Drosophila melanogaster: one gene and its partner. The protein of the gene in region 2 purifies or fractionates together with the protein of the main gene of each other region. This does not show direct contact. Each region holds a gene or a part of one and is shown on either strand. Other genes may lie near its edges.

The links. Proteins that work in one complex are often made in the same cells at the same time.
Region 1: the proteins of Clk (region 2) and per purify together in Drosophila melanogaster (affinity purification with western blotting; 10 studies listed by BioGRID). This does not show direct contact.

Annotation. Positions count from the first base shown.
Region 1 is NC_004354.4:2,683,950-2,687,703, reverse strand, and holds the start of per (period), read right to left. Parts: upstream 2,125-3,754; 5' UTR 1,804-2,124; intron 1-1,803. UniProt on the Drosophila melanogaster protein: Essential for biological clock functions. Determines the period length of circadian and ultradian rhythms; an increase in PER dosage leads to shortened circadian rhythms and a decrease leads to lengthened circadian rhythms.
Region 2 is NT_037436.4:7,773,881-7,777,634, reverse strand, and holds the start of Clk (clock), read left to right. Parts: upstream 1-2,031; 5' UTR 2,032-2,139; intron 2,140-3,754. UniProt on the Drosophila melanogaster protein: Circadian regulator that acts as a transcription factor and generates a rhythmic output with a period of about 24 hours. Oscillates in antiphase to the cycling observed for period (PER) and timeless (TIM).

The DNA of each region.
Region 1 (3,754 bases), on a different chromosome or scaffold from region 2:
TCCGACTGCCTGCCATTCATGTTCATGAATCATGGCTTGGATAACTTCTAGTCCTAATTGGCTGGAGCATTGTTGTGAAATTGTCACCTTGACTTGCACCTGCATGGTGGCCATTGATTGAATCGTATACTCTCTGCCCGGCCCAGACTCAGAACGATAGATAGAGAACAATGTCGCCCACACGGTGGTTGCCTGCAACGAGGCTTCACTGTGCTAATTAACAGCGCAGCGGGAGCGAGAGCGAGACGGCGCGACGCTGCATTCACGTGCAGTGCGATGTGCTTTTGCTCTCGCGTTGCCTCTGCCGCTCCGCCAACGGATGTCGTTATGCAGTCGCAATGCATCCCGGCTCCAGATTCGCAGATACGTACTTAGATACTTAGATACGTGTAGTGTGTAGTTCAGAACCATGTACCCTGTACCTCAGTAGAAGACACATTCTTTTCAGCAATTTTGCAATTACAAAAAAAGAACGCAGCGAAGAACTCATATTTCTCACAATGCACCACTATGTCGTAATCGGTGCATATAGCAAGCATTCAATTCGGCAAGGAGTTCGGTTTCAGCGATTGCATAAGACCCAGGTTCATTCTCTCCGATTTGGCTGAATCAACTAAACCCAAAAATACTACACAGACACACAGGCATTAGGGTGGACCCCATTCCAGGCTCTTCAGAGTTTCCATTAAAAGCAAAGATAACCAAATGGGCCAAGTAAACAAGCTGATAGTTGTTTCGACGGCCCAGAATTCAAGAAGAAAGAATTCCAAAGAAGGTGAAAAATTCCATTGGATAATACCATTTTTTTGCCCAACAAACTGGCTTCCAACCGACTGCTCAATCTGCCCAAATCCTTCAGTTTATACCCACCAAGGATTGTGTAACTCGCTGGTTAACCCAGTTCGCATCCCATATGTGGGTGAACTTTGACGCAGCAAAGCAAGAAGGCCAACTGGTCGAATCGAATCCGCCGCGATGCCTCTGGATTGCTGGATTACATTGGTCGTGCGTCATTCCGAGGATGTTAGATAATGCAGCACAGGAAGCGCGACAGACATGGATAACAGTCGCATAACCCGGGGGCAAGACATACTGGGAAAGACTGTGGGAAAATTCGGGGCACGAATGGGAACGTTGAGCTATTAATGGTGGTACTCTGTTTAGCTTGTGTAACGCGACTGCGACTGCGGCTATCCAAATCGTAGGGGTTTTAATAGACATTCCAAATTTGCCAGAAATTACTGCGCCCACGTGGCGTGTGTGCAGCAAATAAGCTGAAAATACCAAGGTGCAATGCCCAAAAGGGAACACGCTGCGTATGCGCAATATGCTCTGACCCAGATTGGATGCCGGGCATCGATTAGAGCTATGTAGCTACATATATGAATGAGTTCACTTCACGTAGGCGCAGTGTGCTGCAGTACTGCACTCCAGGTGACCGGAAGGCAAGCGGCTGCAGTGGTGCACCACGTTGCGTATGCGTATTCTGCGGCCAGAGTATGTTTGTTTGGCACTGCAAGGAAGGAAGTGGTGGGGCATTCCCGGAGCATTGTTCGGTAGGGTCAGGTATTTTGATGTGGGCTTTTGTTTACGCTTTGCTCGGTGTGCAACGTGCACTTATTAATAAACACTATATGTACATATGTGTAAGTGCGCCATTGGACGTTATGAACCGAGTTATTTATGTAAGCTGCCTGCCCAATGCGTTGTTTTGTATTGGCAATATGATAATGGTCTATCTAGCGCCTCTTGCTGAGATTTTTCTTTGCAGCTTTATTGCAACAACGTGACAATTGCACTTACACACTCGCTCTCGCTCTCACCCAGCTGCACTTTTTTGCGATTAGGCTGCGATTAGGCTGCTGCTGCCTTCTGTTTGGAATCTCACTTATGGTCTCACTTTTTGGCTGTGGCTATATGTCACTCAGCTCGATACACTTGACACTAACACTGGCACCAAAGAATAACGGTTTGTTTCTGGTCGAAATTAAAAAAAAAAAAACGAAGCTGTTTGTTTGCGTGATTCGACAGGTCGTTGTTGCGATTTATTTGGTATATGGCAATACTTTCTACTGTGCGACGAACGCGTTGTCGACCTTCTGGCTCTAAATTCGCACGAACACTAGTGCTCGCATCGCAAGCTCCGGTGTATAAGCCCCCGTGCACTCGCATTCCCAGAATTTTCTCACACTCACTCGCTGCTCTCCGCCGTCGCTGAGAATCGCTGGGAATCGCAGTCGCTCGGGAAATCGCTGGTCGGCTGAGATACTCGGACCCAAACATTAACCCTTGGGCGAAGCTTTTGCGCGAACAACAAAAGCAAGTAATTGGAATGCCAAAGACTCCCTTTTCCATAGCAAGAAACCCCATTTATAGATTGCTATAATGTTGGATATCTTTCTTTTTCATAGCTTCTATTGAATACTAGTTTCTTTTGGTTTTTATCTATGCTGTGGGATACGTTACATGGCACTGCCGATGCCAAGTGTCAATCCAAGCCCCACGCACCAACTGCAGGTTAAGGAAAGCTATGGAATCCCCTGCCTTTTTGGGGCTGCCTGGTGGGCGGCTGGCAGCACGTTTTCCGAGGGGTGTTTTCCGGGGAGCCGGCTGGGCGGCGGATTTGCTGGCCAAGTCACGCAGTTCGCCACGTGAGCGGCGGCTTTTCACTGCCTACGGCTTTCTCGGACGCTTTTTGCACTCGGACCCGTCCCTGCCCCACCATGAATTGTGCGAACTCGCACTGGCACTGGCATTTCGCAACGGCATTACTCACCCACCCACCTGGTCATCGTCCAAGTGCGGCCAGCAGTGCACCAGAGCGCCAGTCCGCAGTCAACGCAGTGCATCGGTCTAGCAGCTCGGCTCTCTAGCACGGATGAAAAGTTGAAAGTGGCGCCAAGCTTTTGGGGGCTTCTGTTTCCCGTTTGTCCCGTGGAAGCTCTACCTGGGCAGGTGTGCGCGGCGTGCGCTGAAACACGTACGGAGTGGGATGATAGCGACAGCTGATTTTCCCTGGCTTTTCCGCCTCCGCCCAGCTGGCTGTTGCGCGCTGTGGCCCACAGGTGGCGTTACACATACCTGCCAGCAGGGGATTCCCCGTCTTTCCACGAGGGGTTGATGAACTCCGAGCGGTCGAGTGGTTCGGTTCGATGCTGATACTACTGCTATGCAGTTACAAATGATTATTACTTGCAATTTCTGTGCATTGAATTTGGCTTTTAGTCTTCGCAATTGAAGGGTTAAAAGTTGAGGCATCTGATAAATAGGAAATGATTTTAGCTACCCCCTCATAAAAGCATATTTTTATGGACCCCACAACTTCTTTTTTTTTCGGAGCATTTTTTATTATCCTAATCCGATCGAAGTGCCCAAGGATGTCTTTATGCCTTATCAGCCGTCCCATCGGCCTGCGGTGGCTTTGAATAATTGAATTCTATTAATTGGCGGCTTTGCCGACGTCGAGTGGGTGTGAAAATCCATTTGACCCGGCACCCACTCCACACGCAGCTCCTTTGTGGCCACGTGTGTGGTGTTTGCCCAAGCTAGCCGGAGTTTGCTGGCATTTGCTGGGGCTCGCTCTTATCTATCGCGGCCACACACGTGCCACAAAGTCACAGACGCCTGCCCGAAAATGATAAAGTGCGTTCGAATTAGCCACCAAACTGCTGCTAATTTGATTTTGATGCTGCGACTGTTGACTTGCCGCACTTCGCCACTCCCCGTCGCGTTTTGATGTGCTGTGATTTCATTT
Region 2 (3,754 bases):
GTTAAGAATTTGAAATTACCTTTCTGTTGACTAATACCCTTTCACTATGTATACCCTCTGAACTATGTCCCTCTCTATAACACCCCTACTCTCTCTTGATTATGCTTAGGCTAACTAAATGATATGCTCACCTATATGAACCTATATATAAAGTGCTATACGCTAAATGCTTATTTCTGTATTCGTATCTGTATCTTCAGCCCGCATTCCTATTGAAGAGATAGCTTTGATATATCTTTGTAACATTAGCTAAAACATCTTTGTCTTTGATTTCTTCTACTTCTAAGCCGCATACTCATTTTGTTTATTCTTTTTAATCGTTCAAACTCTCCCTATAAAGCAAATCAATTTTAAAAACAAAAATTTGCTTTATCAGTCGGCACATCTTTGTCTTTGTAAATATCTTTTTACGGATAATCCATAAATTATATGTACATTTTCTACGCTAGTTATAGAACACGAATTTAATTTTCAGCTCAACACAAAATAAATAAATAAATCAACATTTTTTGTCAACAAAATATTTATGTAATTTTATACAAAATATACACGAACGTCTAAATTAAATCATCGTGTATTTACGTTTAGACACTAAATACAATACAATCCCAAAATTTGACATTATTTTTGTGTCTACTTTATATGAAGAAATTATTACATAATTCTATATGAAACAAAAAAAAATTTATAATATTTCTAAAATTCTTAAGATCAAATCAACAACATATTTTCTCTGTGTTTTTTGTGCTAAATTTTTTTTACTGGTACTTCTTAATTTAATAATGATGTAAAATAAAGAGGAAAACAATTAAAATATAAAATAAATGTGGAACATAACTATGGTTTTTCTTTTAACTTATAAAAGTGGTTGATAAAAAAAACTATTGAGTTTCAGTTTGACAACAAAGTAGTTCTGACTACACCTCTGCATTGCTGAATAGCTACATATATACATCCTGTGCGTTGCATAAACCTATAAAACTTTCAAATCAAATCGAGAAAATCTTGTAAATTGCAAATCGAGTGCTGAAATGTTACGTAAGCATCTAATAAATATCGAATTTCTGGTGCAAGCGGTTCGCGATTAGGCAATCATGGAATAAGAATCAGAATTATTAGTTTTCTGTGCTACCTTTGCAGAAAGTGAGGTCGTAGTGCTAGATTCGGAGCTGAATTCCAATTGAATTGATTTTGAAGATAAAATACGACAAAGGAATCAAAGGTAAGGGTCGTGGTTCACTATTGAATTCATACTAAAACTACTTTATATATGAAATATTTATTGAAATATGAGTTTGCATTAAAAAGCTAATGCCGTAGTGCTTTGGAAATTATTTGTGTGGATTAACAAAAGCTGAAATGACAGTTTGGAAGTTCTTTTATCACTTTCCATACTATAAGACAATTTAATTAGTAAAAGTTTACATTAAATTAAATGATTAAATATTAAAACAGTTTGTTTAGTTTTAACTTTAAATTATGTTTAACTTCTCTTATTATTTCAAATTATATTTCAGTTCGCCTCACGTTGCATGAAATGCACATATGATCTGTTAATGTAAGTTTATAGACATGAAGCAGTATAGATAGATCAAAAGATAGTTAGGGTATGTTGCACCACCTACCTAGTTTCAGTCTATGCCGACCTATAGTCAAAAACTCACCCCTGCCACAGACCTTGAACTTAAGTCGCGGACAAACAAAACCCGTTGAATCACCCCTGCGAGACCCCCGAGAGACCCTTATATCTGTAATCTCCAGACGGAATGCCAGAAACACGCGGAATATTGGACAACAAACAGAAAGGTTGAAAGAAAACTATATAGAAAAGCTATACTATCCGATCCGAGAGAGACCCTCTGAGCAGAGTGGCTCTGAGCGTGCTGATAGTTTGATAGAGCGATAGATAAAGACTCAACTCAGGTTCACGATCGGTGCAATTGAGTGATATGGCGGATTCTGAGTGTGGAGAGCATATTAAATAATAGCCGAGTGGCGGTGCTCAATCAGTCAGTCAGTCAGGTAGAGCTGGGAATGCTTGCACATATCGCGTATACGCCCCGGCCGGCAAAAGGCATTACAACAGACTTGTAGACCGACTGACTCTCCCGACCGATTCGGTTTCGTATCTTTGTATCGGTGAGAACGCTTCTGGGGACTCGCTGCTCACATTTCGATGCATTTCGCGGTTTTTCGTTTATCCACGGGCTTTTTGCGTTTGTAGTTTTTATTTTCGCCAGCTTAGAACTTGCAATTCTCGTGCATTTATTCAGTTTGAGTCCAGCAAGCGCAGCGTCAACGAGCGGATCTCTCTCTTTAATTTTCCGATTCGGGTTTTCGATTTATTCGCATTTTCTCCGGGTTTTTTTTTTGAGCGCGCAGTTATTGTTTTATATCGCAAGTACTTGGCCGATCTGAAGCAAAGTCAAGCCGTCTGCCGTTGATATTGTCTCTGCCTGTAACTCGATCGCATATTACACACTTTTCGCCTTTTCGGTTCTGTTTCGGATTTGAAGGGGAATAATATTTTTGTTTGTCTCCGTCTTTGCGCTTAATTAAATTGCAGCTTTCTTCCTTGTTTCTGCTGATATTGCCAAAAAAGTTTTTTGTTTTACCTTTTACCATAAAAGAAATTAAAGTGTTTTTGTTATTGGATATCGTTTTCTATATATTGGCGTATATATGTCACCAAGTGCAGAAGTATAAAAAAAAAAACGCGCAAAGCAGAACGGGAAAAGTTATTATGTAACTTTTAAAACACTCGTGCCATAAAAACAGGAACAAATGTGGAATAATTCTTGAAGAAACAAAGTGAAAGGCAGAGGAAAAAACAAAAGTGGATAAGCCGCCAAAGGCAATATATGGATAAAAATAAATAGTTTAAATAATAATGGGCGTTTTTAAAAAGCCAAATAAAAAAGTGTAGTTATATGTCAGTGATGTTGCAATAAAACACAAATACAAGTTTTCACAAGTTAAAAATTGATCTTAGTTAAATACTAAAGTAGTAAAGTTTTATTTAATTGAACAAGTGCATCCAAACTAATGTAGCTAAGATTCAATTTCGAAGTAAATTAACTACTTTACCTGCTAATTACCAAAGTTTTGCGCCAGATTCAAAAGATTAAATTACAAATCAGCTGCGGCAAAATTGTGAAGTGTGCAAAGCAAAAGTGGAGGAAAAAAATAAAAATAATAAAAGCAAAAGTGCATTAGGTAGAACATCCGCAGTGACAAAAATAACAGAAGAAAAATGCCGCGCCAAAAAAGATAAGGCAAACCCAAGGATGAGATACGAGCGAATACGAGTGAAGATACTTCTCGCTTAAAACAAAAGTGCATTCAACCAAAAAAAAATTGAAAACAAACTACCTGTGAGAGCGATTTTTCCACATACATATAATAAAAACTATAATTTTTTTAAAATGTCTTTAGATTTGGAAAGGTATTTTAATAATGTACTCTTTATTCGAATTTTGAATGGAGTTGTGTCGTTTGTTTACTCTAAAAGTTGGATTTCGTACCCAATATTAAAATAAATATAAAAATTAAAAAATATTTTTAGATATTGGTTTTAGTTTCATTCAGCAAGATTGATTGGATATTTTACGCAGTACACTATTTTCATTCCGGTGAATTCAAGATAAATAATATTGTTTGTAAGTTTTGCTTAATTACAAGAATTTCCAGTGGCTGAAACTAGCTAGGTAATTTGCTAGTCGCTTTGCAATCCAACTATTTCCATTTGTTTTAT